Linked DNA regions of Arabidopsis thaliana. The protein of the gene in region 4 purifies or fractionates together with the protein of the main gene of each other region. This does not show direct contact. Each region holds a gene or a part of one and is shown on either strand. Other genes may lie near its edges.

Region 1 (5,219 bases), on a different chromosome or scaffold from region 4:
GTACACAAGAACAAATGTATGAGTATGACATATTATAGTTGATAGATCATTTATTTTTTCAATTTGTTTTCATGTTTTAATTTATGGTATGTTTACAAATTTTAACAAAGCATATGTTAATCCCCAAAAGTTACAGCTGTATCTGGTATTGTGTTTAAAGATAAGTAAAAATGAACTCGGAACATGATATTTAATGTAATATAACGAGAATAGGAATGACGAAAAAGGAACGACATAGAAGGAGCCAACACGGGATAAAAACATAGCTTTTAGATTACAACAAGTTACAATTTAAGCAAATTAACGTTTGCAATCAAATATGTAACATGTGTTTTCAATTTATACAGCATAAAAATGCTCAAAATAATAAATGTTATTATAGTATGCTTTATAATAGTTAAAATTTAAAAATAAACAAATGTAATTTAATATTTATGAACAAAATATTAAACAATAAGAAGAAAGAAGTCAATTAATTTTGTAATATTTTTATTATATCATATCATATAAAAATATACATGAATTATATTTGTGTTTGTCCCAAACAGGATATAGAGAATTTTTGCTTCCATCACGTTCTGTTTCTAATCGGAATACAAATTTTTTCTCATATTAGAAATGCATTCTCTTATGAGAAATAAATTGGAGAACGAGTAAGATATAATGGAACATGATAAAATTGAATGAGAATTACGCCTATCTCTAAATATTTATATTTCTCGCAAACGTATTTAATCATTTTAATGGTTTTATATACGGTTTGATAGTTTACAAGTTTAATAAAAATCTACCTGACCATTAACTCGAATCAGTTTGATCTCGGTTCGACCGTTTGATTGTTATGAACTTTAAAATACTACTAAAATCATTATTATTTCAAATATTTCAACCAACTAATATAGTTTAGGTTATATATATACTATAACTATATAAATAATTTTTAACATCAATCTAACTTATATTATATTTTAATTTAAGATTTTTTTTTCTAATTTACTCTTCAGTTTCAAACTCCAAAAATGGACTTATGGTTGCTCTTATGTCATAAACAAACATAAATAATATTTTATATTTTTATGTGTACATTATAATTATTCAATACAGTATATATCACTAAAATAACAAAATAATTATATATTTAATAAAAATTTATTACAACACATTTCTTAATATATGAAGATGTACTATTATTTGCAAATACAAAATATGTTAAATAGTGTTTTAGTTAATTAGAAAATAACAAAAATTAAAGTAATTTTTCTCAAAATAATAATTATTTAAAGATTAATTGCTTAATTATTTGAATTTTATAAGAATTTCCTTTTAATGTGTATTATATATATGTATGAATAAGACTAATTGAAAAATCTGTAATAATCTAGTAAAATTTGGACAATTATTTAAATGGATTAGAATCACAACATGACGGTTTCGTTAATAACACGCCAATATAAATATTTTATTAAAAAAACTTCTCAATTAATATATAGAATATACATATATTTATTATTTACAAATATTTTTATATATTGAAGCTAGAAAATAAAAAAATTATGAAATTGTTTGGTGCACCAATAAAGAAAATATTTAGTTTTTTTTTTTTTCTAAACTAAAACATTTCTTATTATCTATCTAAATACGATTCAACAAATAGTAAAAATAATATGCATAATATAAATCATCAAACCTAATAAAAAGTAATAAATCTTCTATAAAATCTCCTATTTTCTAAAAAACTCTCTACAAAAGAAGTATTAATTTTTTTTTTCGAAGGATTTTATTAGTTATAAAATAAATTTAACAGAAAGAGGCACAAATACCAATAGGAGTTGGAAAACTAAAACAACGAGTGGTGTTGCTCTCTCCATCTTCCTCTTCATCTTCTTCTGTTCTCTCTCTATAAATACAAGTTTACTCTTCCTCTTCCTCAAATCTCTGACTCTTCTCTGCATTATCTCTTCGATCTCTCCAACTCTCCAAAACCTTCCTCAGGTAAAAGATCCAATCTTCCTTACAATTCCACTAATCTAGGGTTTTAAAATCCCAGATTCCTGAATCAAAACTTCTCTGAGATCCGAATTTCGCAATTCTGTGTTTTTGGCTAATTTACGCCTCGCAATTTTGTGTTTTTCGCTAACTTACGCCGAATCCAATGCATCCTCTGTCAAAACTCTCTAAATCCCAAATCTTTTTACAGAAATTTATCACAAATTAGGATTCCACAGTGATTTCTAGCTTTCGCATGAGAGATCTTATTGTGTTTAACATATTTCTTTGCAATTTTGTGTGTTTTTGGCTAACTTAAGCGTCGCAATTTTGTGTGTTTTCACTAACTTACACCGAATCCAATGCATTCTCTGTCAAAACTCTCTAAATCCCAAATCTTTTTACAGAAATTAATCACAAATTAGGATTCTACAGTGATTTCTAGCTTTTGCATGAGAGATCTTATTGTGTTTAACAGATTTGTTTTGCAATTTTGTGTGTTTTTGGCTAACTTACGCCTCGCAGTTTTGTGTTTTTCGCTAACTTACGCCGGAATCCAATGCATCAATAATCTTACCTCTGTCAAAACTCTCTAAATCCCAAATCTTTTTTATAGAAATTTATCACAAATTAGGACTCTACAGTGATGTCTAGCTTTTGCATGAGAGATCTTATTGTTTTTAACAGATTTGTTTTGTTAATGTAGAATGGGAACTACCAATGGAACAGACTATGGAGCATACACATACAAGGAGCTAGAAAGAGAGCAATATTGGCCATCTGAGAATCTCAAGATATCAATAACAGGAGCTGGAGGTTTCATTGCATCTCACATTGCTCGTCGTTTGAAGCACGAAGGTCATTACGTGATTGCTTCTGACTGGAAAAAGAATGAACACATGACTGAAGACATGTTCTGTGATGAGTTCCATCTTGTTGATCTTAGGGTTATGGAGAATTGTCTCAAAGTTACTGAAGGAGTTGATCATGTTTTTAACTTAGCTGCTGATATGGGTGGTATGGGTTTTATCCAGAGTAATCACTCTGTGATTATGTATAATAATACTATGATTAGTTTCAATATGATTGAGGCTGCTAGGATCAATGGGATTAAGAGGTTAGTTAGATTTTGTTTTCTTCGGTTTTCGCAGTTTACGGTTTCTTAAAACAAGTTAAAAAGATTGGATTTTTTGTTTGCTTTAGGTTCTTTTATGCTTCGAGTGCTTGTATCTATCCAGAGTTTAAGCAGTTGGAGACTACTAATGTGAGCTTGAAGGAGTCAGATGCTTGGCCTGCAGAGGTTTGTGATTATTTTTTATATGTTCTTGCTAAAGATTTATGAGTCTTTTCTTATGTGATGTTTTGATGCTGATATAGCCTCAAGATGCTTATGGTTTGGAGAAGCTTGCTACGGAGGAGTTGTGTAAGCATTACAACAAAGATTTTGGTATTGAGTGTCGAATTGGAAGGTTCCATAACATTTATGGTCCTTTTGGAACATGGAAAGGTAGTATACAGATAAACAGTTTCCGTACTTTGTGTGAATGATTAGTTGTTTACTATTGGGATTAATATTTGCTTGGATCAACTTAGGTGGAAGGGAGAAGGCTCCAGCTGCTTTCTGTAGGAAGGCTCAGACTTCCACTGATAGGTTTGAGATGTGGGGAGATGGGCTTCAGACCCGTTCTTTTACCTTTATCGATGAGTGTGTTGAAGGTGTACTCAGGTGAGGGTATCTCCTGATGTTGATGAAGTTGTATGTTAGACGTAATTGGCTGATATTTTCGTCATTTTTGTTTTATAGGTTGACAAAATCAGATTTCCGTGAGCCGGTGAACATCGGAAGCGATGAGATGGTGAGCATGAATGAGATGGCTGAGATGGTTCTCAGCTTTGAGGAAAAGAAGCTTCCAATTCACCACATTCCTGGCCCGGAAGGTGTTCGTGGTCGTAACTCAGACAACAATCTGATCAAAGAAAAGCTTGGTTGGGCTCCTAATATGAGATTGAAGGTACCAACATTATTTACTTAAGTAGCTCAAAGACAAGATAATAATCTAATTCTTTTATTACTGATATTGTTTTGACCATAATCGTTAAACAGGAGGGGCTTAGAATAACCTACTTCTGGATAAAGGAACAGATCGAGAAAGAGAAAGCAAAGGGAAGCGATGTGTCGCTTTACGGGTCATCAAAGGTGGTTGGAACTCAAGCACCGGTTCAGCTAGGCTCACTCCGCGCGGCTGATGGAAAAGAGTGAAGTTCACCAAAGTATAAGTCAAGCTCAAATATGGCCTTTTAAGTTCAGCAAAATGTTTAGATATATTTTTAGGTAGCTTCCTATTAAAAAAGCAATAATAAGTGTTTTGGATTTTGGTTCCTTCTATTCTGCTAATCCTTGTTTATGTTTAGTTGAAAAAGTTTGCTTGCATTGTTAAGTCTGTTATCATATTATTGTGGTCCTTTCATTCACAGTATGTATGTTTATCATCATAGTCAAGTTGATGTCGTGGTCCTCTCACGGACCAGTACAAGTAAGTGGCTTGTGTTTTTTCTTGCATCTTATCATCTATTCACACATCTCTAGAGGTTAGGGATCACTCACGGTGACTCACCATTCTTTCTCTTCCATCCACTTCTTTATCCCATTCCTCGGTCAAAAATGTCACACGTAATAAATCATAAGGTTTTAAGTTTATATATTGCTTTTTTTATGCAACTCTCCCGATCAGCAAAATATCTAAAATTTGAGATTTTTATCCATGTTCTAAGATTTGGTCTTAGACTCGAGATGATCCGAAAAATAACGTATTTACTATTTTAAATTTTGAATATACATTTTATCAAAAAACAAATATGAGATAAGGACGATATTATTATAACATAACATATAATGTTTTTTTATTATTTTAAATAATATCAAAGGAAATAAAGCTTAAACTTAATCCAAAACTAAGAAAAAAACCACTAAATCAAAAGGAAAAGCATAGTAAAATCTCAAAACAATTAAGCAACTTTCGGCTCAATTGTTAGCTTCTTTGAATATATATGTTATCAGTGTTTTTTCAAAAATCTTTGACGTTAGCATCATACTACAAATATTCATTTATGCATCTAAAATAAGACAATCGATATATTTCAAATCATCAACTCAACAATCACCCAATTTTTTGTTGTGGTTTTGCTCTTGCTCTCACTCTTCTTCGTGTCGCTTCTCAAATGAGCCCAAATCA
Region 2 (4,991 bases), 2.9 Mb from region 4:
GTGAACAAAAAAGGATCAAAGCCTAACATGTCAAGTGAAAAGTCCACCTTGAAAACACAAAACAGAGCTTTGATGGAACTCAGAGATTATGCAGAAAAACGAAGGCGTTTGACTTTTTACTTACCACCACCAAGATACGCAATCCCAATGAACATTCAAAAAGCCATGAAAATTTCCAGAAACAAAATTGATAAGATAGAAATAAAAAACAGAGGAAAAACTCATCAGAGATGTCTAAATTGTGAATTAGTTCCCAAGCAGAGATTTAGATTTCTTGAACATAATAATGAATAATCAAGAAATAACAAAAATTCACATCCTTGATTCATCGATTAAACTCAGCTCTAAAAGTAGGCTTGCCATGAAACAGAAATCAGAGGAAAAAGATCTCACCGGAAAGAGCGAAAACTCTTGCGACGTTTGACCACACTCGGCGCCGGATAAGGACTACGGGGGAGATTGAATCTTTTTTGTCTCTCTAATTTTTGGCTTTTTGAGTGATACTCTGACACGTCATTATCTCCACAAGGATATTTATTTCTCAGAAAAAAACATCAACGTTTCAGTTCGATCAAATAAGTCCCTCTAATAATCTCACATTATAAAAATCGCTAATAAAACCGAGACTCTTTGAGTACAAGGTACAACATTTGTTGTTGGAAATGAACTCTTCAAAGTTTCTACAAATATTAAACAGAAGCTGGAACTTGGGAGTCCACTGACTTCAGAACCTCCTCTCCCATCTCCTTGCAGCCCACCAGTTTCTGATCATACCCCATACAAAAAGACAAAAAAATATTACTACTGTTTGTTGTTGCCTGCTTGTTTAAACGTTTCTCAAACACTAACTCGGGACGTTTTTAAGGAAAAGGAAACATGTTATAAGAGTGGTTCAAGAAACATACTGTTCCCGCGGAGTATATGTCTCCAGTTCTGAATCCGTTGTTCAGAGCAACCAACACTGCGTCTTCAATTCTCTTGGCTGCCTTTTCTTCTCCAAGTCCGTATTTCAGAAGCATTGCAGCGCTTAGAATGGTTGCCAATGGGTTTGCCTTATCCTGAAAATTCAAAGAATCAACAAGTTGTGCTCTTTGATTTTGGCATTAAACTAGTTTTGATATCAGGGAACAAAAACCGTGTTTGTTTGAAGGATAGAGTTAGAACCTGTCCAGCAATATCAGGTGCAGAACCATGTATAGGTTCAAAGAGTCCAGGTCCCTGTATTACACATGGCGGGTTTATGTTCAGACTAGATCATACTGCTTGCATACTAAAAGATCATATTATTTTATATCATACCGAATCACTGAGACTAGCAGATGGCAGCATTCCTATGCTTCCTGTGATCATTGAAGCTTCATCGGATAATATATCACCAAAAATGTTGTTTGTGACGATGGTGTCAAACTGCATTTATCAAACAATCAAATAATTGCAAGGATTTACACCTGTCGCACATCAAAGCTGACTAGTTTGGCAAATACAAAGTACACGTACCTGTTTTGGGTCACGAACAAGCTGCATCGCGGCATTGTCAACATACATATGTGACAGCTCAACATCAGGATATTCAGAGGCTAATGCTGTTACTCGTTTCCTCCATAAGATTGAGGCCTGCATATAAAAAAATTCAGTGTTATGTTCGTTCCACAGGAAACAAGAGAGAGGAAAACAAGTCAAAGAAAACATAATTATCAACCGCACTTCCAAAACATTAGCTTTGTCAACAGAACACAGCTTGCCACGCCGTTTCCGAGCAGTCTCGAAGGCAACACGAGCAATTCTATCAATCTGACGAACATACAAAATGCTTTATTAGATTTGACCCTAGTACTTAACAATCAGTCCACGGAAATCTGCATCTGAGATTTTCAATAGAGTACCTCGTGAGCAGCATAAACCTCAGTATTAAACCCAACTTCCTCGCCATTTTCATTGGTCTTTATGCCCCTTGGCTCTCCAAAGTAAATACCTGTTACCATGAGACATGACATTTTATAAGATATTGTCACACGAGAAAGACAAGAATTACGATCAATTTTTAATAAGTAATAAAACTGACCTCCTGTAAGCTCCCTTACAACCATTAGATCAACACCTTCTGCTACCTCTCTCTTTAAGGTGGAAGCATCCACTAACTGTATAAAAACAACAAAATTAGAGTTTCACACAAGAAACAAAGTTCAGGCAACCAAGAAATCTCTGAGGATGGTCACCTGTGGGAGGACTGTAGCAGGTCTCAGATTTGCAAAGACTTTGAGAGCTGCACGAATCTGAAGTAACCCCTTCTCAGGCCTCAGATGTTTTTCATTGTTATCCCATTTGTACCTTAAGTTATTATTATACCAACATGAGAAAATGACTAAATGAGAAACTGTATTTCCCAAAACAATAATTAAGAGCCAACAAGATTAGTGGGAAAAGAGAGAAGACAGACCCTCCAATGGCTCCAAGAAGCACTGCATCTGATTCTTTTGCAGCTGAGATAGTCTCCTCCGGCAAGGGCACTCCGACCAAATCCAAAGCAGCTCCTCCAATGGGCATCTCACGGAAGTTAAATTCCACTCCTGATACAGAGCACAGACGCAATGTATTAGGCAATCTCCGTGGCCTTTGAGCCCAACCCACGATTGTAAATCCCATTCAAAATCTCGCCAATTTCTAATGCTCACATCTTTCAATTCCAAGCAGAAAACAGTAGTCCCCAATTGAAATGAAACAGCAACTAAATTAAATAAGAAAGGGAACAAGAGAGAGAGAGAGAACCTTCCAAAGATCCAGCTTGCTGAAGCACATTTTTGGCAATGGAGACAACCTCCGGACCGATGCCGTCTCCGGGAAGGAGAGTGATGGTGTATCGTTTTTTACCAGGGGAAGCAACAGCACATCTTACTCTAAAGGGTGCCAATGACTGTTTACTTACAGCTCTGAACGTAGCCGGAACCTTGACCGTCCGGATATTCGTCTGCAGAGCCGCCGCCATTTCAGGGAGAAAGGATTGATTGGTCTTTTTCGGATTTTGAAACCGCAAGTCAAATGGATACTACTAGTACACTCAGACTTTACTTCTTTGCATTTATGGGTCCTTTTTTGCACATTGTTTTATTTTCAGAATTGACCCCAAAGTTTTTAATTTTGTAAATGGACACCTTACATTACCACATACAACATATATATATATATATATATATATATATATATATCCATTTATTAGCAGCACCTCACAGAAGAAGGAGGGCTCATCAAATACTTGAAGAGCCGCACGAAGCTGCAACAAGGCCGTTATCGGCTTCAAATGCTTGGGATTGTTATCCCATTTCGGCCTTCAATTCAAAAATCCAAACTTTAGATGAATCCAAACTTGAGATGAACGAAAGTTATGGTAATAATACCATACCATCCAACAGCTCCGAGAAGAAGAGCGTCTGATTGCTTTGCCCTGATCAATGTTTCCTTAGGCAGTGGAACTCCGACAAGATCTAAAGCAACACCTCCTATAGGCAACTCCTCGAAGCTAAAATCTATCCCTGATATCCAAAAACACGATTTCAGTTGGGAAAATCAAATTAAATTAGGCAACAGGATGAGAAAGAAGGAACCTTCAAGAGACCCAGCTAAACAAAGAACGTCAACAGCGACTGGGATCACTTCGTTACCGACGCCATCGCCGGGAAGAACCGCGATGGTGTACCGTTTCTTTGGAGTGTTGGCGGCACATCTGATCACAGAAGCTCTCCTAAAGCTCTGTTTGGTTGCGGACATAAACGCAACCGGAATCTGGGTACTGCTGACGTGGATGACTCCCGCCATTTACTACAACAAAGACTACAAGGAGACCTGGAAAGAACTTTTGTGTTTATAATCAAACCAATATTAACCGTTCGATTATTTATTTTCACCTCTGGATGGCTCAATTATGATGGGCCTAAGAAAGATTCGTAGAAGATAGATCGGCCCAAATGTTCCAAATATTAACACAAGTCCAGCGGGCTTTGGGCCCATAAATGGTATTCGGGTCAGATTTTAAAATGGGTATTCGGGTCAAAATTCGCCCGTTAGATGATGAACCCTAATTTCGTGTGTACAGGGAGCGGAGAGGGGAAACAAGAGAATGCTCTTGTTGCGGCGACTCAATCGAGTTCGGATTGCTTCCCCTTACTCCGTTCGGCTTCTGTCAGTAAAACCTATTTCAAATGTCGATGATGCGAAGTTTCGATCTCAGGAAGAAGAAGATCAGTCCAGTTACGATCAGAAAACAGTATGCGAAGCTCTCACATGTTACAGCAACGATTGGCAAAAGGCGTTGGAGTTTTTCAACTGGGTCGAGAGAGAATCCGGATTCAGACATACCACCGAGACATTCAATCGGGTGATCGATATTCTGGGTAAGTATTTCGAGTTTGAAATTTCTTGGGCTTTGATTAACCGCATGATCGGAAACACGGAATCTGTGCCGAATCACGTCACGTTTCGTATAGTCTTTAAGCGTTATGTGACGGCTCATCTTGTTCAGGAGGCTATTGATGCGTATGATAAATTGGATGATTTCAATTTGAGAGATGAAACATCATTTTATAATCTGGTCGATGCGCTTTGCGAGCATAAACATGTGGTTGAAGCTGAAGAGCTTTGTTTTGGGAAGAATGTCATTGGTAATGGTTTTAGTGTGAGTAATACTAAGATTCATAATCTGATTCTTCGTGGGTGGTCGAAATTGGGATGGTGGGGTAAATGCAAGGAGTATTGGAAGAAGATGGATACTGAAGGTGTTACTAAGGATCTTTTTTCGTATTCCATTTACATGGATATCATGTGCAAGAGCGGGAAACCGTGGAAAGCTGTGAAGTTGTATAAGGAAATGAAGAGTAGAAGGATGAAACTCGATGTGGTTGCTTATAACACTGTGATTCGAGCCATTGGAGCGTCGCAAGGTGTTGAATTCGGTATCAGGGTATTTCGGGAGATGAGGGAAAGAGGTTGTGAACCTAATG
Region 3 (6,478 bases), on a different chromosome or scaffold from region 4:
CTATCTTCTAACAAAATTCTCCACCTTCCCTTCTGACATCTCCCATCACTTCTCTCTTAATTTATTCCATCCATTCCACCAAATTTTTAGTTTCACTTTTTTTACTGTAGTGTGTTTACACTTGTGAGTGAGTGAAAAAGTAAAGCTAGAGAGGTTACTGTTTTGAGATGCTCTTTTTAGAAAGGGCCATATATAAATGGTAGTGTAGTAGTACTAGTGGAGCTTCTTCATATACAATTTTGACTTCTCTTCATTGAATGTAGGAGAGAGGCTCTTTACATCATAAATAAAACAAGAACACAGCTTTCAGAGAGATAGAGTGAGATTCTCCTTCATTAACATATTCTTCTTCATGTTATAAGAAGAAGAAGAAGAAGTGTCCAAAAGGATTAGAGATGGGTGGATGCACAAGCAAGCAAGAGAGGAGAGGTGTGAGAAGTGTGAAGGAGACATCAAAAGACCAAAGCAGAGGAAGAAGACACCTGATAAAAGAGAGAGATGAGAGAGAGAAAGTGATGTTTCTTCAGCTTAAAGAGGCGGAGAGAGAGTGGAGAAAAGAGAGGAAGAAGCTGAGAGAGGAAGTGAGAAGACTAAGGAAGAAGCTAGAGGAAAGAGAAGAAGCAAAGACAACAACAACAGAGGAAAGAGAGTATTGGAAGTGGGTGGTTGAGGAGATGTGTGTAGAGAGAGCAGTGAGAGATGAAGCCGTTGAGAAATGGAAACAACTCTATTTAGCTATCAAGAATGAGCTTGATCATCTCATCTCCCACACTACTTCTTCCTCCGGTAAAATAAACTCAACTTATTTCAACTTAAAATTAGAAAAAGTAAATAGGATCTTTAAAGTGTGTGTTTGTAGGAGAAGCAATCATGCAAAGGAAACTTGAGGAACAAGAAGAAGAAGAAACAGAAGCAAAGAGAGTTGAAGTATTGAGAGATGAAGTTAGAGTTAAAGAAGAGACAGTTGAGACACTTGAAGAGCAAATAGTTTTGATGGATAGACAAAAGTATGAGAAAGAAAGAGAGATTGACTTATTGAGACAGAGTCTAAGGATTCTTGGAAGCAAGAAGAAAAAGAAGACAGGATCATTCGCATCAATGAATCTGTTGATATTGAAGACCAAATGTGTCGAATGTACATAAACACTTTTTACTCAAATAGTCTTCTGCAAACAGTCATATCTCGTCAGAGAATCTTGATCCACAATGTCATATTTATTTCTCTTTTGGTTATTTTACAATTTTTATTTTGGAAATATAGTAAATCATAGCACTATGAGTTCAAAAAGCACATGTCCCATGAAAGATTTGCACAAATCGTTTTTTTTTTTTTTTGTTGGAGTTAGATACAATTCTTTAGCAATAATGATAATGAACCATTTTTCCAAAGAACAGAAACTGTGGAAAAAAACTTACTAGACACTAAAAGTCTAAAACACCACTTGCTTTTTTATAGCCCAAGAAACTTCTAGTTCTAATTAAGAATGTCCAACTTCCGGTTCGGTTACTGAAAATTATCAAATTTTTGTTAGATGAGATAAAGAAGTGAATCCTACAAGAAATATATCATGTGGTTCGGTTTGGTACAATTTTGATTTCTGCTAGGGTTTTATCCTTTTTAGCAAAATTTACTTTAATTTCCGTAGTAAAAAAGAAGAAGTTTTAGTTGGTTTATTTCTTATTTTTGCTTCGATTACGGCATTTAATTTTAGCAATATTTCATTAACAAAAAAAAACAATTCTAATTGGTTTATTTCTACTTCTTTTTCTGTCTTGGTTTGATCTCTATTACTATATTGATTATGAAAAAAATATGAAACCAAAACCATTTATTATGTCTTCAATTCCATTTTTAACCCAATTATTTCACTACAATTGTAATAACCGGTTATTGCACCCCTAATTATAACTATTTAAGCAATCGCATATACCAAACCAGCGAGTTAAACCAAATTGTTTCCCAAATTATGCTAAACGACAGCGTTTTCACAAATTACCAAAAAAACCTATTTTTCTGTATCTATCTGAATTCAGAGTCCTGACCATTTTATCTCACTCTCACAAAGTCTTCACTTTTGAAGTGTCTCCTCCACACGCACTGCGCCGCCAAAAAACCCTTCTTTAAACCCTTTCCTCCTCGCGCCGTCATGCAAGCCACCATCTTCTCTCCACGCGCCACTCTCTTCCCCTGTAAACCTCTCCTCCCTTCCCACAATGTCAACTCTCGCCGTCCCTCAATCATCTCCTGCTCCGCCCAATCCGTAACCGCTGATCCTTCACCACCTATCACTGACACCAATAAGCTCAACAAATACAGCTCAAGAATCACTGAACCCAAATCCCAAGGTGGGTCTCAAGCAATTCTTCACGGTGTTGGTTTATCAGACGACGATTTGCTAAAACCCCAGATTGGTATCTCGTCGGTTTGGTATGAAGGGAACACTTGTAACATGCATTTGCTGAAATTGTCTGAGGCTGTGAAAGAAGGAGTTGAAAATGCAGGAATGGTTGGGTTTAGGTTTAATACTATTGGTGTGAGTGATGCTATTTCGATGGGAACGAGAGGGATGTGTTTTAGTTTGCAATCTAGGGATTTGATTGCTGATAGTATTGAGACTGTTATGAGTGCTCAGTGGTATGATGGTAACATATCTATTCCCGGTTGTGATAAAAATGTGAGTTTTTTTTTTTTAATCATCGATCTTTGTGTTGTCTTTATCTCCATGTTTTATGTGATTTGTTTGCTATAATGTTATTGTTGTAATACTTTTAGATGCCTGGAACTATTATGGCTATGGGAAGGCTTAACAGACCAGGGATTATGGTTTATGGTGGAACCATTAAGGTACTTACTTTTATCAAATTGATGAGAAGATAGTTTCTTAAACCCTAAACCCTTGTGCCTAGTTGGATAGCCTATTCACCTTGCTTTGATATTATTGCAGCCTGGCCATTTTCAAGACAAGACATATGACATTGTATCTGCTTTCCAGGTATCTTTTCTTCTATCTGCTACGAGCTTGGTTATAACAATTTTAATGTGTATTTATGAGACTTCATTGAGTTTTCCAATTTTGGGATTGAGTTACAGAAATCTTGGTGACTTTGGTGTCAAATTGTACCAGTACTTGTGGGATTCATCATGTTTTCCAATTTTGTATTTCAGAGTTATGGAGAATTTGTTAGTGGCTCCATAAGTGATGAACAGAGAAAGACTGTCCTCCATCATTCATGTCCTGGAGCTGGAGCCTGTGGTGGCATGTACACAGCGAATACAATGGCTTCTGCTATCGAAGCAATGGGAATGTCCCTTCCTTACAGGTGAGGCTTTCAGTCCTGAAGACCACATTTATAAATCAACTTCAAACGTTTTCCCAGATTTGTGCTTAATAGAAAGTTATTTCCACAAGAACATTGTAGATCCTAAACTGTAATTGTGGAATGCTTATTTCAAAAGTTCATATATTTGCTTCTTCTTTTTTTTTTGAAGTTCTTCAATACCTGCTGAAGACCCATTGAAGTTGGACGAGTGTCGCTTAGCAGGAAAATATCTTCTAGAATTGCTAAAGATGGACTTAAAACCCCGTGACATTATCACTCCAAAATCACTTCGTAATGCAATGGTTTCCGTCATGGCCCTTGGGGGATCGACAAATGCAGTATTGCATCTAATTGCTATTGCAAGGTGACAGATTGTTATGATGTTTCTTATTATTACCATGGAAAGCAATGGACCGAAGTAATGAATGGAAATGATTTCAGGTCTGTTGGTTTGGAGTTGACTCTTGACGATTTTCAGAAAGTTAGCGATGCGGTTCCATTTCTAGCAGATCTTAAACCCAGTGGGAAGTATGTTATGGAGGATATACATAAGGTAAGGCTTTGGCGAAATCGTTTTGCTTATTACTTATCTGTTTTTTTATTGGTCAGTTTGTAAGTTTTGTTGTTTAATCTACAGATAGGTGGTACGCCAGCTGTTCTCCGCTATTTATTAGAGCTAGGATTGATGGATGGTGATTGTATGACAGGTAGAAATGCTCAAACATTTTATAAACTGACTTAGCAATTTGGATTGATGTGAAATGGCATAACTACGCTTTTGTATCTCTACCAGTGACAGGGCAGACTTTGGCTCAAAATTTAGAAAACGTCCCAAGCTTAACAGAAGGGCAGGTATTTGTAATGTTATTAGTTATCTCATTAGATTCTACCGCCTGTTTCTTCTTGATTATGATGGTTGTTAGTTATACAGGATTCTAATTAATTCTGATAATGTTCCAGGAGATAATTAGACCTCTGTCAAATCCAATCAAGGAGACTGGACACATACAAATTTTGAGAGGAGACCTTGCACCAGATGGTTCTGTAGCAAAAATTACCGGCAAAGAGGGCTTATATTTCTCTGGTAATGTTGGTTCACTCTAGTACCTCCTTTACACTCCATATTTAGCTAATGCTTCTGAATATTAGGGCTTATATGATGGAACTATTTATTTTAGGTCCTGCACTTGTATTTGAAGGAGAGGAATCTATGTTGGCTGCTATATCAGCAGACCCAATGAGTTTTAAGGTAATTTCCTTTCTGATATGAAGTTCATCTCAGGAGCTGGTTATATATCTTTTATCTGATGAAATGTATCGTGTTTCAGGGAACTGTGGTTGTTATCAGAGGAGAGGGGCCTAAAGGAGGTCCAGGTATGCCTGAGATGTTGACACCGACAAGTGCAATAATGGGTGCCGGTCTTGGAAAGGTATGATATGACCAGTATGACTGGGTTAGTGAGACATTTATTAAGTCTGATCAATTTTTATGTTCTAAATTAAAGAACTCGTTATTTTTCCTTTGATATGGTCTGACTATATTATGCTTATGGTAGTGACCTAAATCTTTTTATCTACTTTGTCCATATCCGAGAACACACCTTATATAAAGTGCCAATATGTTGCTATTGGGTGATGCAGGAATGTGCATTACTGACTGATGGTAGGTTCTCTGGTGGGTCACACGGTTTTGTTGTTGGCCACATTTGCCCTGAAGCTCAGGTCTCTCTCTCTCCCTTTTTTTTTTCTCTCTGCCCACTGGCTCCATCAGAGCAAAATTCTAAATTTTGCACTTGCAAGATAAATTTGATAGATCCATGTCCCTCTTCTGGGATATTTTTCTTGTGTATTGAAAAATAAATGCTACTGGGTCATAGTCATATATAGTTTTAGCAAAAAGGAACAAGGGTCAAGGGATCCTGTAATAGTTTGTGGTGGCTCTTATGCAGTTATGATGATTTTGGAATATTTCAAATAATAAAACTGATATTAATGTGATTGGAGAATGTGAAGATAATAATGCTGAAAGCAATTCTCCGGTGTGCTTACTATTTATCTGTGCAGGAGGGTGGTCCGATCGGTCTGATCAAGAACGGAGACATAATCACCATTGACATAGGAAAGAAGAGAATAGACACACAAGTCTCACCCGAAGAAATGAATGACCGTAGAAAGAAATGGACTGCTCCTGCATACAAGGTTAACCGCGGAGTCCTATATAAGGTACTATACGAATCCACTTGTATCTATATAATGTATGTCTCTTTGACATCTGATGGATTAGTTTCTAATGAATGGTTTATGATATTCTAAAAACAGTACATCAAGAACGTGCAATCGGCTTCAGATGGATGTGTGACTGACGAGTAAAGTGAACGATCTAAGAGAGAGTTTTGTGAATGAGCAGCAGAATGTAGTGTACGTTCATGAGGGAATTTGTAAGTTTATTTATTGTAGCTTCTAGATCATGTTACTTTGTGACTGATCATTAGCTATTTGCAGGGTTCGTTTTTAAGATTTTGTTTCTCTTAAATGTCAAAATAAAAACTTGTGATTGTGGCCGAATTCCAAAGAATATAAAGACAGAATAAAGACGGATTTGCATAAATACTTGTCTATGAGATTGAACTTAAGAGCCAATGTGGCAAACCAGCTATGCGTGAATAAGCTTGACGTTCTCTACATGGTTTAGAAAGATGTGAAATCCACTAACCTTAAAGGCTTGGGTTCCTTGGATTTCAAGTCTTTTCATCGTCTTTCTCTCGTTTCTGTAGGAGACAACATAAGGGTCATAAGAATAGTAAAACTCGAGCATGGTAATTAATATTTGATTCGACCAATTTATATCAAGGTGCAAGTATTTGTCTCAAAGGCTCGAGCATGACATCTCACAGAATTGTAAAATCATTCACATTTGAAATTTGATATCAAACTTAAAACAGAATCAATATAAACTAATTAGAAGGCTGTGGACGAGGGAGACGGGACAACCAACGAGGGAGAACATACTGTGAAGCGAGGAGAAGGTTAGGACCACCTTGAAACGATGGGGAAAAGTATCTATGAACGGTCTCCATATACTCGTTGCACCAGTTAAAGCTCAAGGTGCAACCATCCATACACTTCCTCTCGTCTTCGGATTCCTTGTGAAGACTAA
Region 4 (5,094 bases):
CTCCTTCCGAGAAGGAAGAATCTGATCAGACGGAGATCACGAAAGTATCCGTCTTGAAAAACCTTGATGAGAAGGAGATGATCAAAGAATTCGCTGATCGTCTTCAGCGTCTCGAAGCAAAGGTGGATTTGTTGGTAACAAAGGCGGATTTGTTGGCAATAAAGGCGGATATACAGGAGCTTCTCATCTCAGCCAAGGGTGAGAAAGTTCCTGCCATGAAGACTTCTGCTAAGGCTTCTTCTGAGAGCGATGACTCATACATGGACACTTCTTCGGAGGATGAATCGTCTTCTGCTGAGGAACCTGTAAACAAACCTGCTGCAAGTGCCGCCAAGCCAGCTACTAAAGATTCTTTATTCTCTGCTGGTTTCAAGCCAGCTGCTAAAGATTCTTTATTCTCTGCTGGTTTCAAGCCAGATTCTTTATTCTCTGCTGGTTTCGAGCCAGCTGCTAAAGATTCTTTATTCTCTGCTGGTTTCAAGCCAGGTTCTTTATTCTCTGCTGGTTTCGAGCCAGCTGCTAAAGATTCTTTATTCTCTGCTGGTTTCAAGCCAGATTCTTTATTCTCTGTTGGTGTCAAGCCAGCTGCTAAAGATTCTTTATTTTCTGTTGGTGTCAATGGTCGATCGTTCTCTGTTACGGGATTTGACGCTTCCCTTCCTGTGGATGATATAAAGAGCGCATTGAGTAAATATTTCAGTTCTTTTGGGGAGATCACACGCGTATTTGTTCCCCCAAGCCACGGAACCGGTGGTTCCTTAGGATATGCTTACATTGATCTGAAAGAAGGAGCAGAGAAGGCGTTGGAACTTGGTAGACATGACGTGGGAGGATGGGATCTTGTAGTTGGTAAGGCTGAACCGATTCGCAGTGGAAGTACTTGGCCTTTTCCTGGCCGTTGTGGTAATCAGGGCCGTTGTACCTTCTGTTGAAGGCTTGAACCTTTGGTAGTGCATGAAGGAAGAGACTGCTCGTGGAACTAGATCACCTAGTTTTACTCCCTAAAGTAAGAAGACTACCTAGAAGAAGAGGAACGTTTTAAATTTGTATTACTTGGGAGTTTTTTCTTATGTTCTAGTTAAGTTTTTGACCCAATGTTAATGTTAACTCAATTTTGAGTTCTTTTGGTTTTAAATAAGATGAAAAAAATTCTTGAAGTTAATTTTCTAGATAAGTTTATTGTTTCTTAAAAGATTTAAAAGAAGAGGTTAAAAGACAGGTCGTGAGTACTTTTGTTAAGAGCATATGTAAAACTCAGTAGTAGTTTGATATGAAACAACTAGCGAGCATCACGGAACCAACCAGTCGTTTTATTCCACAAGTCCAAAGAAACGAAATTTCATTACTTCCTCTAATAACAAAGCCAACAATATCATCATAGGACGTGAAGAGCTTTAGAAGAAACAAACACACAAAGCTTATTTATCATTGCTCTTCAAATACTCCTTGAGAACATCCATAACTGAACCAAACTTTGCCTTAACCTTCACTGGTGGATTCGCCAATCTACAAGCCATCTCCTTTATGTTCTTAGAATGATAATCAATCTTACTTTGTGTAAACTTCAATCCATGAGCTGTACTCACCACCACAGTCCGATCATTCGCTCCAATAACTCCTGACTTTCTCAGCTTCATCAACGCCGTCAATGCAACACCAGTATGTGGACATATAAACATACCAGTAGAATCAGCAAGAGCTGTTGCATCCATCAACTCTTCCTCTGTAGCTTCCTCAACAATCCCATTAGATTTCTTCAACGCATACACAGCTCTATCAATCGAAACAGGGTCACCAATCTGAATAGCAGAAGCAAATGTAGTGTTTGCTTTCAATGGATTGAAATCTTCTTTAAACCCAGATTTGTAATGCAAGTAAAGTGGATTTGCATTAGCAGCTTGAGCACAAACAAGCCTAGGGATACGATCAACAAGACCTAACTCTTTACACATATGAAACCCTTTGTAAAACGCATAGATGTTACCAAGATTGCCTCCAGGAACAATGACCCAATCAGGAACTTGCCAATTAAACTGCTGCAGAATCTCAATCGCCGCCGTCTTTTGACCTTCGAGACGGAGGCTGTTGAGAGAGTTCGCCAAGTAAATAGGAAGCTCCGCCGTAACTTCTCTGATCAAATGCATACATCCGTCAAAATCAGTGTCAATACTAAGCACAAACGCTCCGTTTGCAATCGGCTGCACAAGCTGAGCCATGGAGATTTTATCCGCAGGTAAGAAGACAATCGAGGGGATTCCAGCGGAAGCACAGTAAGCAGAGAGAGCAGCGGAGGTATCTCCAGTAGAAGCGCAACCAACTCCGATGACTGGTTTGTTCATTTTCCGGAGACGATTCACCTGAGAAACAAAAAAATAACATAAAGTTGTAAACTTTATTGAAGATGGTTATACAGTTGTAAACTTTATGAAAGATGATTCACCTGAGAAACGAGAACACTCATGCCCAGATCTTTAAAGGAGCCAGTGTGGCTGATTCCACAATGTTTCACCCAAAGATCGTTCATTTGCAGATACTGTTTACCAAATCTCTCAGCCCAGAAGAGATTTGAGTTTCCTTCAAAAGCAGAGACGATGTCGTCATCGTCGATCTCGGGGAGTACCCACTCTTTCTTCGACCACACGCCTGATCCGTACGGCCAATTTGTTTTACCGACGCGAGAATCGAAAAGGTTACGCCAGAATTCTCCGTCGTAGCGTTTCAAGGCGGCGAAATCATGCTGGACGTCGAGGAGAGCACCGGATTGTGAACGGTAGACGATCTCGTCGAGGGAGTAGGATTCTGTTGAAGAAGGTGGAGCGTTGAAAGGGACGTAACGTGCGGAGAGGTTTTGGAGTTGATGAGGACGGCGACGAGCTTCGTCTCGAATGTTCTCATCGGGTGAACGACGGGGTTTCTGTGGAGTCTGTGGAGGAACGGCGGGAGAGGCGGAGGTGCAACGGACGGTGAAGGAAGCGGCGGAGTGAGGTTTAAGTGAGGTTTCAGAGTGGGAAGGAAAGTAGGTGGCGGAGTGGGGAAGAGAGAATGAGGCCATTATGAGTGAGAGAGAGAGTAAAGTGAAGAGTTTGATGATATTGATTGGATAGAAGAATGATTGTTGACACCTTTAGTCACAAGTCACAAGTAATTTATTTATAACCTAATAAATATTGGGACGAAAGTATTCATTTATTGTTTGTTTTTCATTTGTCATTCCAATTTCCAAATTATGTATATATCTCTCTAGTCATGAATTTTCTTTTGATGGTAGAGAAAGCACCAGGGAGAAATGAATCTTTGACGTTCATGAATCTAGTGTGAATTTAGTGTTTAAGATATCAAATATGCAAAAAAAAAAAAAAAACACGTATGTATGGAGTACATGAGACATGTGCCACACATGAAGTATATTCTTATGAGTAAAATGTTACTATTATTTGTATGGATTATTAGTCATGAATTTTCTTTTGATGGTAGAGAAAGAAGCACTAGGGAGAAATGAATCTTTGACATTCATGAATCATGTGTAAATTTTAGTGTTTAAGATATCAAATATGCAACAACAAAAAAAAACACGAATGTATGGACTACATGAGACATGTGCCACACATGAAGTATATTCTTATGAGTAAAATATAATGTTACTATTATTTGTATCTATTGTTCTTTGTTCTTCTAATATATATTTGTGATTTCGTCCCATTTTATTAATCAAATAAATATATTACAAGCGACGGAAACAAAAAATAAATAATAAATGTCACTATCTTTTTGTCATTTTAAAGGACAAAAATAAATAATGAGATGAGACTATGAGAGCAACATTCATACAAAGTAGACGACACTTCATAGTTCATATTAATGTATATAGGTATGGAGTTTATGATCTTAACGTTTTTGGAAAAGAAAAAGAAAGTAAAGGACACCACTAGTTATGGGTCCTCCTTTTCGTCACATTGGGCGGATTGGGTCAAATATACAGTCATTGTGAAAAACCAGCCCAATAAGCTTATACTTCAAATAAAAGACTTGAATTAGAATTGATTCAAACTCTGAATACCTCAACTAACCGTTGTGTGTTCTCTCTAAATTTGGGTAATAGTGTTTTGGGGTTTGGGAGAGAACGACACAATAAATGAGAAGGGATCCCTTTTCTGTATTTTAAAGCGTTTTGATAGGGAACTTGAGAAATTTGATTTCATGATTCGTGTACTTTTTTGTTATGTTTGTGACTCGTGATCTTTTGCTCGATAAAAGCTTTCCATAGTTTTTGTTGGTGCTTTAGTCTGTGGAAACTGCTTATGATTTGGTTCTTTTATCTCCAAGTTGTGGGCTGAAATAATGGTCATCACCAGTTGATACAGAACCAACAGTGTTGTTCGTCACTCAAGCCCATCACAGCTATAATGTTCTTTTTGGAATCAAATCACATGGTTGGAATCAGTCTAAGCTTGTCTACTCACTTTAACATCTAATCTGTTGAAGATAAGGATTAACGATGTAATAAGTAAGCGTGGACCGAAAAAGAAATGTAGTATATGTTTAGGTAGTGGGCATTTCCAAATACTATAGTATTGATTTCTGTTGTATATTTGATTTGATACTAAAATATGTGAAACTCCCAAAGCTAATTAATACTATATTTTTGTAATCAAGTTATGTCAGTAAATGATACAACGACAGAAAAATGATTTCTGTTGGTGTTTGGTAGTATCATACTATTGTCCAAGGACCACCACTGTTCCTATAAATTTAGCATCTCTAGGAGGAACTCTGATAAATCTTTAGATTCTTTTTTCATAAAAAAAAATATAGCTCGAACGATAGTGGAAGTGTAACAGTGAAAAAGAATCAAAAATCACGTGACAGATCACGTGCCTCTCACACTGCCTTCTGCTCTCTTCTCTGCCCAACGACCCAAGGATATGGACGCCACGTCATCTTATCCAAATCACAAAAGCGGATCCATTTTCTCTCTCCTCTGTTGGGTCTGATCCGAGAACAAGATCTTAGCCGTTGTTTTCGATGACGACCTTTTAGCTTTTTTCTATCTCTGCCGTCGATCTTCTTCGTCTTCTAAGAGTGCTCCCAGTTTGT

The links.
Region 1: the proteins of AT1G72810 (region 4) and GME fractionate together in Arabidopsis thaliana (co-fractionation; one large-scale study listed by BioGRID). This does not show direct contact.
Region 2: the proteins of AT1G72810 (region 4) and IMD2 fractionate together in Arabidopsis thaliana (co-fractionation; one large-scale study listed by BioGRID). This does not show direct contact.
Region 3: the proteins of AT1G72810 (region 4) and AT3G23940 fractionate together in Arabidopsis thaliana (co-fractionation; one large-scale study listed by BioGRID). This does not show direct contact.

What each region holds. Positions count from the first base shown.
Region 1 is NC_003076.8:10,861,499-10,866,717, reverse strand, and holds GME (GDP-D-mannose 3',5'-epimerase), read left to right. Parts: upstream 1-1,771; 5' UTR 1,772-1,992; intron 1,993-2,673; exon of another isoform or gene 2,674-2,692; 5' UTR 2,693-2,693; coding exon 2,694-3,103; intron 3,104-3,189; coding exon 3,190-3,286; intron 3,287-3,363; coding exon 3,364-3,493; intron 3,494-3,579; coding exon 3,580-3,712; intron 3,713-3,790; coding exon 3,791-3,998; intron 3,999-4,090; coding exon 4,091-4,246; 3' UTR 4,247-4,702; downstream 4,703-5,219. UniProt on the Arabidopsis thaliana protein: Catalyzes a reversible epimerization of GDP-D-mannose that precedes the committed step in the biosynthesis of vitamin C (L-ascorbate), resulting in the hydrolysis of the highly energetic glycosyl-pyrophosphoryl linkage.
Region 2 is NC_003070.9:30,285,825-30,290,815, reverse strand, and holds IMD2 (isopropylmalate dehydrogenase 2), read right to left. Parts: upstream 3,054-4,991; 5' UTR 2,984-3,053; coding exon 2,767-2,983; intron 2,568-2,766; coding exon 2,438-2,567; intron 2,329-2,437; coding exon 2,217-2,328; intron 2,139-2,216; coding exon 2,063-2,138; intron 1,973-2,062; coding exon 1,884-1,972; intron 1,792-1,883; coding exon 1,705-1,791; intron 1,615-1,704; coding exon 1,498-1,614; intron 1,408-1,497; coding exon 1,300-1,407; intron 1,219-1,299; coding exon 1,165-1,218; intron 1,059-1,164; coding exon 906-1,058; intron 765-905; coding exon 690-764; 3' UTR 517-689; downstream 1-516. Other genes in the region: AT1G80570 (RNI-like superfamily protein), read right to left, coding at 125-155; AT1G80555 (Isocitrate/isopropylmalate dehydrogenase family protein), read right to left, coding at 3,077-3,323, 3,398-3,527, 3,600-3,810; AT1G80550 (Pentatricopeptide repeat (PPR) superfamily protein), read left to right, coding at 4,112-4,991. UniProt on the Arabidopsis thaliana protein: Involved in leucine biosynthesis; catalyzes the oxidative decarboxylation step in leucine biosynthesis (primary metabolism). Catalyzes the oxidation of 3-carboxy-2-hydroxy-4-methylpentanoate (3-isopropylmalate, 3-IPM) to 3-carboxy-4-methyl-2-oxopentanoate.
Region 3 is NC_003074.8:8,646,633-8,653,110, forward strand, and holds AT3G23940 (dehydratase family), read left to right. Parts: upstream 1-2,036; 5' UTR 2,037-2,147; coding exon 2,148-2,675; intron 2,676-2,773; coding exon 2,774-2,845; intron 2,846-2,945; coding exon 2,946-2,993; intron 2,994-3,166; coding exon 3,167-3,321; intron 3,322-3,490; coding exon 3,491-3,685; intron 3,686-3,762; coding exon 3,763-3,874; intron 3,875-3,958; coding exon 3,959-4,028; intron 4,029-4,114; coding exon 4,115-4,173; intron 4,174-4,281; coding exon 4,282-4,405; intron 4,406-4,499; coding exon 4,500-4,570; intron 4,571-4,649; coding exon 4,650-4,751; intron 4,752-4,962; coding exon 4,963-5,043; intron 5,044-5,385; coding exon 5,386-5,544; intron 5,545-5,640; coding exon 5,641-5,691; 3' UTR 5,692-5,973; downstream 5,974-6,478. Other genes in the region: AT3G23930 (troponin T, skeletal protein), read left to right, coding at 396-786, 860-1,143; AT3G23950 (F-box family protein), read right to left, coding at 6,276-6,478. UniProt on the Arabidopsis thaliana protein: Functions in the biosynthesis of branched-chain amino acids.
Region 4 is NC_003070.9:27,397,342-27,402,435, forward strand, and holds AT1G72810 (Pyridoxal-5'-phosphate-dependent enzyme family protein), read right to left. Parts: upstream 3,134-5,094; 5' UTR 3,053-3,133; coding exon 2,441-3,052; intron 2,358-2,440; coding exon 1,419-2,357; 3' UTR 933-1,418; downstream 1-932. Other genes in the region: AT1G72800 (RNA-binding (RRM/RBD/RNP motifs) family protein), read left to right, coding at 1-932. UniProt on the Arabidopsis thaliana protein: Catalyzes the gamma-elimination of phosphate from L-phosphohomoserine and the beta-addition of water to produce L-threonine.